Macaca fascicularis: one gene and its partner. The protein of the gene in region 2 purifies or fractionates together with the protein of the main gene of each other region. This does not show direct contact. Links are inferred from orthologs where the notes say so. Each region holds a gene or a part of one and is shown on either strand. Other genes may lie near its edges.

Region 1 (5,972 bases), on a different chromosome or scaffold from region 2:
AGCCACCGCTGATGCAGGCAGGAAGCAGCCCTGGGGGATTGGACGCTGCTATTGATTCATTAAAAAAAAAAAAAAAGAAAAATACACCAAGGCTCCATGTTCCCCGTGACAGGTGGGCCTGAGGGGCCGGGGTGACCCCCCCCCAGCATGGCAGCATGATTTCTGTACAATCCATCCATCATCTGGGGCACAGGCGCGGGGTGCAGGGGCTATTTCTTGGCTTTGGCGGAATTGCGGGGTGGGGTGATGGGCCGGCCCCCAGGGTTCAGGCCACTGAACTGCCCGTACTTCCCCTTGTTCTTGTCGGCGGGCTTGAGGATCTAAAAGAGACAGGGTTGGTCAGGCTCATGGGGCTGAGCCACGGGGCCTAGTAGCTCCTTTCTTCCCCACACTCACCTGGAAGGAGCACATGAGGGTCTCGTCCACGCTCATCATGGCGCCAGCATTGTCAAACTCGCCACAGTAGTTGGGAGCTGAGAAAAGTGTCACCAGCTGCCGCTTGGCAAAGAACTCATAGCCATCTTCTACCACCTGGGTGAGGATCGGAGCAGTCAGTCCCAAGTGCAGGCAAGGCCCTCCCCTTCCCCCACCACAGACGGGAGCCACCAGCCCACCTGGTGTGCTCGGCAGATGAGGTCCAAGTCGTGCTTGTGGAGGAACTTGGCCACCACCTCGGCTCCAAAAGTAAAAGAGACGCCACGGTCGTTCTCGCCCCAGCCCTGCACGTCCTTGTCAGGGTCAGACCAGAGCAGGTCACACAGCAGGCCCTGGTCAGGCACGTCTGTGGGCCGCATGATCCGCCGAATCTGCTCCATGGACTGCAGGTCCGGGGAGAGGCCTGGAGGGCCAGAAGGAAGGTCACTTCCTCAAACAAGGACATCCTTCCTCCAGGAAGCCTTGGCCAGTGAGCCTCACTTTTCCACCACCCTCCTGGTCCCTCCACTGGTCTCCTGGGTGCCCAGGCAGGCAGAAGCCATCCCCTTCCCCTCAGCTTTTTCAAGTTCCCAAACAGGCACAAAGGCGCCCCTGGCCTCCGGAGCACAGAGCTCCTGGGAGAAAGGAGACAAGCCCGCCCCATGTAGAATGCACATCAAGGAAGTGAGTGCAGCCCAGCACAGGGGGGTATGGGAGACACTTCCTGAAAGGAGTGACTTCCCAGATGACAACTAAGGAGAGCTCACCTCCGTGGCAGCAAAAGATCTTTTCGTCCACTATGGCCGCAATGGGCAGGCAGTTGAAGCAGTCAGTGAACGTTTTCCACAGTTTGATGTTGTAGCGTCTCTTGCCTGCCCAGAGGGAGGTAGCTGTGAGGGGTCTGCCTGCTCCACCCTTAGCCGGGGTCTCTGGGCTATTCAGCCGCAGATGGGAGAGAGTCAGGCACCAATGCAAACCACCCCCACCCCTGCCGCCTGTCAGCCTTCCAGGAGTAATTCTAGTTACTTTTTATTTTAATTTGTAATTTAAACAAACAGGATCTGGGCAGGGCATGGTGGCTCACACCTGTAATCCCAGCACTTTGGGAGGCTGAAGCAGGCAGATCACCTGAGGTCAGAAGTTCAAGACCAGCCTGACCAACATGGAGAAACCCTGTCTCTACTAAAATACAAAAAAATTAGCCAGGCGTGGTGTCGCATGCCTGTAATCCCAGCTACTCGGGAGGCTGAGGCAGGAGAATCGCTTGAACCCGGGAGATGGAGGTTGTGGTGAACTGAGATCACACCACTGCACTCCAGCCTGGGCAACAAGAGCGAAACTCCGTCTCAAAAAAGTAAAGAAACAGGGTCTTGTTCAGTCACCCAGGCTGGAGTGCATTGGCAAGATCATAGCTCACTGTAACTTGGAGCTTCTGAGTCCAAGTGATCTTCCCGCCTCAGCCTCCCACCAGAAGTAATTCTAAAGCACCCGAGTCCACTGGAAACTGAGTTCCAATCTGGACCAGCCTCAGGGTTGGCACTCCTTGCACGCCCCGGCCCACGAGCCGGGCCAAGTACAGGTCTGGTTTATCTCAGCTTCTGGACAGCAGAGCTCATCTGCAAACATCCTAAATGCTTAGTAGCAAATGTAGAGGGAACGTCACCAGGCAGGGCCCTGGGGGAAAGCACTAGAATACGGACAGTCCTTCAGTCAGCAACCATTCCCCAGACCCCATGCCAGGAGGGGCAGGGCAGGCACAAGAACGGACCTGGGCCCTGCCTTCGTGGAGTGCACAGTCTTAGCAAGTGTCTGTCAGATATCAGGCCAATGTGAAGGTCCCACTGAATGACAAGGAGTGTGGTTCAGGACCCGGGCAGCCCCAGACGCTCAGACCACTCACACTCATCGTAGAAACCGTAGATGCGGTTGATGCTGGCGCACTCGTGGTTCCCACGGAGCAGGAAGAAGTTCTCGGGGTACTTGATCTTATAGGCCAGCAGCAGGCAGATGGTCTCCAAGGACTGCTTGCCCCTGTCCACATAGTCCCCCAGAAAGAGGTAGTTGCTCTCCGGAGGGAAACCGCCATACTCAAATAGTCGCAGAAGGTCATAGTACTGGCCGTGTATATCACCTGTGACCCAGGGAATCGGGTAAGCTAGATGCAGGGTCTAGACCTGAACCCAGGACCAGGACTGGGCTCAAGGGAGGAGGACTCCAGGAACTCTGTGGGGGCCAGTGCCACTTTCAGGAAAGCAAGGGGACCTGGGTCGGGGGGCTCACCGCAGATCTTGAGGGGTGCCTCCAGCTCCAGAAGAATGGGCTGGCTCAGGAAAATCTCCCGGGATTTCAGGCACAGGCCGCGGATCTCGTTCTCTGTCAGCTGTACATTCTTGCCAGGCCGCGAGCCCTGCACTGGGGGCGCAATGGGGTGTCAAGACCCGGGACCCTGACAGGAGGAGGGTGGGCGACACGGGTGGCCCCATGGATACCTCCGGGGGCGCCTAGGCCTCCTCGGCTGCTCCTTGCCCGCAGGCAGCTGTTGCTGCTGAGCCTCCCGGGACCTCGGCCTCAAGCCTCCCAAGGGAAGCCCCCAACTACCCTCAGCGCCTCGGGAGGCGACTGTCGTGCGCAGGGGGCTGCCACCCAAACACCTCACAGCGCAGGACCCCTTCCTGGACCGGGCTTCCCGGGTTTCTCCCTCGCCTCAAGAACCCAGGCAACCCGTGCGCCCCCGGCCCGGGAGAGGGGGCTGCTCCGCGCGTCGGAGCGGGCCCAGGACCTCTCAGGCGCGTCCGCGGGGGGGCGGCTGCGGCCACCGAACCTCGCGGCCCGTCCCCGCCCAGTCTAAGCTGGCCCCGGGGGCCCGCCCGCGCGCCACTTCCGGGCCCGGCAGGGGGCCCGGGAGCGGCGGACGCAGGCCTCCCCCGCCGCGACCAACCTTCTAGCAGGCGCCCGATGATCGAGTCAAGGTTGAGCTTCTCGCTATCGGACATGGCGGCGCCGCCGCTCCAGCCCAGCAGCTCCGGGCCCGCTCCTGCCTCCCGCCCTCCGGCAGCCTCCTTCCGGCCTGGCTCTCCTTCCGCCCGCCCCAGTCCGCCCCCGGCCCGCGGCCCCGCCTCCGGGCCTCCCGGGCCCGCCCCGCCCGGTCCCCCGCGCTCTAGCGCCCCCGCTGGACGTGAAGCGCCGCGGCCCGGGGGGCGGGGCCTTGGCGGCGGGCTGGGGGCGGGGTCTGTCGGGGGCGCGTCCAACTGGTTACGCCCCAGAGGAGGCGCCCAGCCCGGTTCAGAGGATGTGGGGCCGGAAGAACTGTGGAAGTTGTTTTTCTCTTTCAAAAGCAGAACAGCCGTTCCCACCCCTGCCCTGGGTGGAGGGTGTTGTGAACATATTAATAACCGGCTGCTAGGCACTGAGGGTTAACTGCTCGAAGTGCAGGAAAGGAAACTGAGGCTCAAGAGATATGAACAGACTGGTGCAAGACCTGGACCTCGCATTCACGTACGACCCCCTTTTTCGTGGGTCTCCGTGGCCCCCAGGCGGCTGACCACACTCAAAGACAGCTACGGCTGAACTTCCAGCGCACTTTGGTCCTTGGGGCATGATAAATTAATATTTTCTTACAAGTCCCATAATTAGCTTTTATTTATTTATTTTTTTTGAGACAGAGTTTTGCTTTGTCGCCTAAGCTGGAGTGCAGTGGCGCGACTTTGGCTCACTGCAACATTCGCTTCCCAGGTTCAAGGGGTTCTCCTGCCTCAGCCTCTGGAGTAGCTGGGATTGCAGGCGCGCGCCACTGCGCCTGGTTTTTGTGTGTTTAGCAGAGGTGGGGTTTCGCCATATTGGCCCGGCTGGTCTTGAACTCCTAACCTCAAGTGATCCACTGGCCTCGACCTCCCAAAGTCCTGGGGGGGTTACAGGCGTGAGCCAACAAGCCTGGCCCCATAATTAGCTTTTGAGTAGCACAGTAATATTGCAGGGTGTGCACGTAAAAAGAATTACTATATGAGCAGACATGGCTGGGTGCAGTGGCTCACGCCTGTAATTCCAGCGCTTTGGGAGGCTGAGGTGGGAGGATCGTTTGAGGTCAGGAGTTCAAGACCAGCCTGGCCAACATGGTGAAACCCCATCTCTCTAAAAATACAAAAAGTTAGCTGGGCATGATGGCAGCCGCCTGTAATCTCAGCTATTGGGGAGGCTGAGGCAGGAGAATCACTTGAACCTGGGAGGCGGAGGTTGCAGTGGGCCAAGGCCCATTGCACCCCCTAGCCGAGGTGACAGTGTGAGACTCTGTCTCAAAGGAGCAGACGATAAATTAACCTTAATTCTTGTTGGAACCCTGAGTTGGGTGCTTTACATGCCAGTAACCTCAGAACTGGAGGTGGGCCTGCTGTGGCGGCTTAGGCCTGTAATTCCAGCACTTTGGGAGGCTGAGGTGGGATGGTCTCTTGCGTCCAGCCTGGGCAACACGGCGAAACCTCATCTCAACAAAAAAATACAAAAATTAGCTGGGCATGGTGGTGCACGCCTGCAGTCCCAGCTACTAGGGAGGCTGAGGCAGGAGGATCTCTTGAGACCAGGAGGTGGGGGTTGCAGTGAGCCCAGATCCTGCCATTACACTCCAGCCTGGGTGACAGAGCATGACCCTCAAGAAACAAACACAAAGGCCAGGCGCGGTGGTTCATGCCTGTAATCCCAGCACTTTGGGAGGCAGAGGTGGGTAGATCACCTGAGGTCAGGAGTTTGAGACCAGCCTGGCCAATGTGGCAAAACCCTGTCTCTACTAAAAATACAAAAATTAGCCGGGCATGGTAGTGCATGTCTGTAGTTCCAGCTACTTGGAAGACTGAGGCAGGAGAATCACTTGAATCTGGGAGGTGGAGGTTGCAGTGAGCTGAGACCGTGCCACTGCACTCTAGCCTGGGCAACAGAGCAAGACTCTGTCTCAAAAGAAACAAACAAAAGAATTGGAGGTGGCCTGGCCTCTGTGTCTAAGAGGCCTGGGCCCTCCACACCCAGCACAGGAACTCAAGCCTTCAGTCACTGGGGCCATGGGGAGGGTGGGAGGAGCCCACAGCTCAGGGGCACTGGGGCAGGCAGGAAGAGCCTCAGAGAGGAAGGGGTGACACCCCCCACCCTTGGGAGGGGCCCCCAGCGGTTGCTGAAGCTGTGTGAGGAGGAGGAGGAAGTGAGAGGAGGAGGTGAGGTGCTGCAGGAGGTGAGCTGGGCTGGTGGAGACAGAGGCTGGGCCTGGGGCTGGGTCTCCGGACAGAGGCCTGGCTTTTCTGTCAGGGCAGGGCCTAGCCCCCGCCCCCATAAAAGAGGAGACATAGTTGGCTTGGTGAGATACCCTGAAACCTCCCCACTCTCACCCCGCAGCCAGGCCCCAGGCTGGCCGGGAGTGGCCCCTCACACTGGTTCTCCCCACTTTCTCTGCCTGTGGCATTGAAGGCCCCAGGCACCATGGCCCAGGCCCTGGGGGAGGACCTGGTGCAGCCTCCCGAGCTGCAGGATGACTCCAGCTCTTTGGGGTCCGACTCAGAGCTCAGTGGGCCTGGCCCATA
Region 2 (5,381 bases):
ACACACTGGCTCAGGAATAGGAGATAGGAGGACCCTGCCACCAACCCCCGCTTCACCTTCCCTAAATAACTCGTTTGCAGGCTAAGTCCATCAAACTTATCCCTGCCATCAGGAGAGAAATCCCAGCCCTGCCACTGGAGCCCAGGGGATGGCTGTGGCTGGTGCCCTACCCCAGAGGCCTCCTGGGCTGAGAGACCAGCCCTATTGTGACCTTATATAGCTGATGGGAGAGGAGCAAGTGAGTCACCCTCTCTCTACCCGCCCCCCCACTCCCATGCAGGCTGTGCATTCCTGAGAAGTCCAGTCAGAAGCTGGTGGGGGGTGAGGAGAGAGGCAGGGTAGGGGGGAGATACAAACATAGACCGAGAACAAATAAAATAAGTCCTTTTTCAGAATAGATAATAAAGTACAGAGGTTATTATTCCAAAAGAGGATATGAGAAGAAAACAAAAATGGGTTCCCAGAAATGTGGGTAAATCTGTCAGTAACAGAAACTAAGTGGTCGCTTCTGAGAACTTGGGATATAAGCAGTCTGGCTGCTATAACTAGATTGTACCAGCAGTTCCACAGACATGAACTGGGGGGTCAAATATGTATAGGCTGGACCACCCCCAGATTGTTTCCCCAGCATTGGTCCTCTGATGGCACCTCATCTGAGGTTTGAACAAACTCTAAACTCTTGCACTGTAGCAACTTTCAAGCTCCTTTTTTCTTTTCTTTTTTTTTTTTTTTTTTTTCTGAGACAGTCTTGCTGTCTCCCAGCCTGGAGTTCAATGGTGAGATTTCGGCCCACTACAACCTCCACCTTCTGGCTTCAAGTGATTCTCCATCCTCAGCCTCCTGAATATCTGGAACTACAGGCGCACACCACCAAGCCCAGCTAATTTTAGTATTTTTAGTAGAGACGGGGTTTCACCATGTTGGCCAGGCTGGTCTCAAACTCCTGACCTCAAGTGATCCCCCTGTCTTGGCCTCCCAAAGTGCTGGGATTACAGGTGTGAGCCACTTCACCCGGCCCCAAGCTTCTTTCAACAGCAGACACGAGTATAATAAATTAGTAAATTATCTAGGAAGTTAGAAGGTGGTGAGTGACTATGAAAAAAAAAAAAAAGAACAGTGGAACTTAGAGGGTCAGGAAGCAGGGGGAGTGAATATGGAGACTTCAAAATGGGGTGATCAGGAGGGTCAGAGCCATGGGGATATTTCAGGGGAGTGTTCTAGGCAGAAGGAATAGCTAGTACTTTTCTGGTCCTGAGGTGGGAGTGCGTGGAGGGACCAACGCCAGTGTGGCTGGAGTGAAGGAAGAGGCCAGAGAGGCAAGGGGAGGGTGGCACATTGGGAGCACCCTGTAGGCTTTGGTCAGGCTCTGGGCACCTTTGGGGCAATCAAGTAGACTTTTTTTTTTGAGGTGGAGTCTCACTCTGTTGCCCAAGCTGTAGTGCACTGGCGTGATCTCGGCTCACTGCAACCTCCGCCTCCCGGGTTCAAGTGATTCTCCTGCCTTGTCCTCCCGAGTAGCTGGGACTACAGGCGTACGCCACCATGCCCAGCTAATTTTTTTGTATTTTTAGTAGAGACGGGTTTCACCATGTTGACCAGGATGGTCTCAATCTCTTGACCTTGTGATCCGCCCGCCTCGGCCTCCCAAAATGCTGGGATTATAGGCATGAACCACCGCGCCCAGCCTCGAGTAGACTTTTTGCTCCAAGTGAGATGGGGAGACAATGTGGGGTTTGGAGCCAACAAGGAGTAACATACACAGTTCCCGAGTTCCATTTTCCCATGGGGACCCAGGTGTCATATCTGATTTTTTTTTTTCTTTTTTAGAGACAGTGTCACTCTATTGCACAGGCTTGTCTCCAACTCCTGGGCTCGAGAAATAATCCTGCCTCAGCCTCCCAAAGTGCTGGGATTACAGGCGTGAGCCACCGTGCCCGACTGGTGTCATATCTGATGCAGCTCTTAGCAACCACCTGCCCAGCCACCCTTCTGGCTTCTCCCTTTTCATACCTCAGTCCATTAGGGGACTCAGGGATGTTCGACTGGCCCCAAGTCCTCCCAAACAGATGCCAGGGAAGGCCTGAGTAGATCATTTGGACCTTTCCAAGTAGTCCACATGGAATCCTCCTGCTGTCTGCCTAATCCCTTTGGCTCCTAGACTTAATCCCACCCTGCCCCTTCCCCCTGAGCTTCTTAAGAGGGCAAAGGGGAAGGGTAGAAAGGCAGTGAGAACAGCTGGGACTCACCTGCTTTTGGCACAGTGTGATTTTTCTGTGCCCTGTCTGGTATTTTGTCTCTGCGCCTGTCCCTTTGAGCACACTGTGGGCTCAAACCCCACCCCAGGTTTGTGTGGACTTTCCTTTCTGCCCTTGTCATCTCCCCCAACCTTTCAAGGTGTCAGCGGCTAATCTTTCCCCTGTGTGTTGTGGGAGTCTCTTGGTTCCTCTGGGCCTTTCTATTCATCTCCCATCTCTTCCCAGGCCCTAGACCCCCTTTGCTATGGATAGGAGAGGAATGAGGGGAGTGGGAGGGAACAGGTGCCCAGGCTCCTGGGTTTCGCATAGGACAGCAAGGGGCTGTGGGTATGAAAACCATGGTTTTGGTTGAGACTGGCTCCCCAGCCAGTTCTTTCCCCACTGGCCAGTCTGCTGGGCTCCTCTGGGAAGTTTACTCTTTCCCCACTGGCCAGTCTGCTGGGCTCCTCTGGGAAGTTTACTCTATTGCCTCCAAGGTGCCCAAAGACTCGGTTCTGATCACAAGACTAATCGCCACGTATTTTAATTTCTTTTTACCCCTCTGCCTCCCACACTCGAAAGAGCAGGGACCTTGGTCTTATGTTATTCACTTCTGCCTCCCAAGCCCCTGCCAACATACAGGGCAAAGTCTGATGTTTTGAAATGATATGATCGAAGAGGGAAACTCTAGGATTGGAAAGCCAGTGTGTAAAGGAAAACTGGATCCCAAAGTGGATGGGAGAGAGTGAGGGGGGCGCCTAAGTCCAACCCCCACCCCCACCTTTCCCCCGCCCCACCTGCTCCCTTGCAGACTCCCCCCCGCCCCCCGCTTTCTCCCCCTCAACCCCCACGGGCCTCACCCCTGCTGACCTTGCCTCCTGCCCCCTTTTTCTCCCTCCTTCAGCTTAAGATCTCCTTCAGCGAGACAGCCCTGGAGACCACGTACCAATACCCCTCCGAGAGTTCGGTACTGGAGGAGCTGGGCCCGGAGCCTGAGGTCCCCAGTGCCCCCAACCCCCCAGCAGCCCAACCCGACGACGAAGAGGATGAGGAAGAGCTGCTGCTGCTGCAGCCAGAGCTCCAGGGCGGGCTGCGCACCAAGGCCCTGATTGTGGGTAAGCGGACGCTCCGCCGGCTCGAGAGCGCCCCCTGCTGTCAGAGCTGGCGCTGCGGTCCAGGAGAGAAGAGGAGGGAGGATTGCATGTAGGCGCTTGGAAGGGGCTTGGTGGTCCTCTGGTCCAACCTGCTCCTTCAATAGATGGGCAAACTGAGGTCCCGGGCAGTGAAGTACACATTGAGTCTTCAAGTTTCAAAACGAGAACTCTTCCTGAGTACCGTAATCTGGTCAAAACCACAGGGTGGGTCTACAGGCCTGAGTTGGAATTGCAGCTTGTCTCTTAATTGTGTGATCTCAAGGAAACCATCCGATATCTGGCTTTAGTTTATTATTTATGAAATGAAGTTAATAATAACTACCTCCTGTGGCTCATGCCTGTAATCCCAGCACTTCGGGAAGCCAAGACGGGTGGATCGCTTGAGCCCAGGAGTTCAAGACCACCCTGGGCAACATGGCAAAATCCTGTCTCTACAAAAAAATACAAAAATTATCCCGGTGTGGGCCAGGCACGGTGGCTCACGCCTGTAATCCCAGCACTTTGAGAGGCCGAGGCGGGCGGATCATGAAGTCAGGAGACTGAGACCATCCTGGCTAACACGGTGAAACTCCATCTCTACTAAAAATAAAAAAAAATTAGCCGGGCGTGGTGGTGGGCACCTGTAGTCCCAGCTACTTGGGAGGCTGAGGCAGGAGAATGGTGTGAACCTGGGAGGCGGAGCTTGCAGTGAGCCGAGATCACCCCACTGCACTCCAGCCTGGACAACAGAGCGAGACTCCATCTCTAAAAAAAATAAATAAATAAAAATAAAAGAATTAGCCAGGTGTGGCAGTGCACAGCTGTGGTTCCAGCTACTTGGGAGGCTGAGGTGGGAGGATCGTTTGACCTCAGAAGTTGGAGGCTGCAGTGAGCCGATATTGTACCACCCACTGCACTCCAGCCTGGGCAATAGAGGAAGACCCTGTCTCGAAAGAAACAAACAGGCCAGACAAGGTGGCTCACGCCTGTAATTCCAGCACTTTGGGAGGCTGAGGCAGGTGGATCACTCAAGGTCAGAAGTTCAAGACCGGCCTGGCCAACATAGTGAAAACCCATCTCTACTAAAAATACAAAAATTAGCTAGGCATGGAGGTGGACACCTGCAATCCCTGCTACTCGGGAGTCTGAGGCAGGAGAATCACTTGAAGCTGGGAAGCAGAGGTTGCAGTGAGCCGAAATGATGCCACTGCACTCCAGCCTGGGCTACAGAGTGAAATTCCGTCTCAAAAAAACAGAAACCAAAAACTACCTCCTAGAGTTGTAGAAAAGATTAAGTAATTTATTTTATTTAATTAATTAATTTATTTATTTATTTTGAGATAGCTCCCTCTGTCGCCCAGACTGGAGTGCAGTGGCACAATCTTGGCTCACTGCAACCTCTGCCTCCCAAGTTCAAGCGATTCTCATGCCTCAGTCTCTCAAGTAGCTGGGATTACAGATGTGTACCATCACACCTGGCTAGTTTTTATATTTTTAGTAGAGACAGGGTTCCCCCATGTTGGCCAGGCTGGTCTTGAACTCCTGACTTCAAGTGATCCTCCCGCCTCAGCCTCCTAAATTGCTCAGATTACAGGGGCTCCAGGCCAAGATTAAGTAGTTTTTGTGAAGCACCAAGAGCCACAGCTGGATATCAAATTACTTAATCTCTCCTGGAGTTATGGTGACGTTAAACAGTTATGAGGATGCTTGGCACAGAATCCGAGCTAAATGAGTGATGGATGTGGTTACTGATGGTAACGTGCTTTAGATGTGGAAGATATTATAGGACTTCCTGCATGCCAACTGCCCTTCAATTTGTGTGTGGGGGAAGGGTGGGCAGAAGGCAGAGGCTCTCACTCATTCTCTGTCATTATTGCCCCCTCTCCCACAGATGAGTCCTGCCGGCGGTGACCATCTTCAACATAGGGATATACCTCCTTCCTTCTTATAACTGAAGATCCTGGATCCCAGAAGATTCAGGGCAGCAGACCCTGATAATGAGCCTGGCAGGGAA

What was found. Proteins that work in one complex are often made in the same cells at the same time.
Region 1: the proteins of PPP1R18 (region 2) and PPP1CA purify together in Homo sapiens (affinity purification with mass spectrometry; 5 studies listed by BioGRID and IntAct, counting the BioPlex papers as one, with this or other methods). This does not show direct contact. The link is inferred for Macaca fascicularis from reciprocal best matches to the Homo sapiens genes PPP1R18 and PPP1CA.

Annotation. Positions count from the first base shown.
Region 1 is NC_088388.1:6,973,411-6,979,382, reverse strand, and holds the start of PPP1CA (serine/threonine-protein phosphatase PP1-alpha catalytic subunit), read right to left. Parts: upstream 3,484-5,972; 5' UTR 3,408-3,483; coding exon 3,353-3,407; intron 2,827-3,352; coding exon 2,695-2,826; intron 2,546-2,694; coding exon 2,315-2,545; intron 1,287-2,314; coding exon 1,182-1,286; intron 839-1,181; coding exon 615-838; intron 532-614; coding exon 397-531; intron 321-396; coding exon 210-320; 3' UTR 1-209. Other genes in the region: TBC1D10C (carabin), read left to right, coding at 5,872-5,972. UniProt on the Homo sapiens protein: Protein phosphatase that associates with over 200 regulatory proteins to form highly specific holoenzymes which dephosphorylate hundreds of biological targets.
Region 2 is NC_088378.1:141,973,970-141,979,350, forward strand, and holds part of PPP1R18 (phostensin), read left to right. Parts: intron 1-3,138; coding exon 3,139-3,349; intron 3,350-5,258; coding exon 5,259-5,278; 3' UTR 5,279-5,381.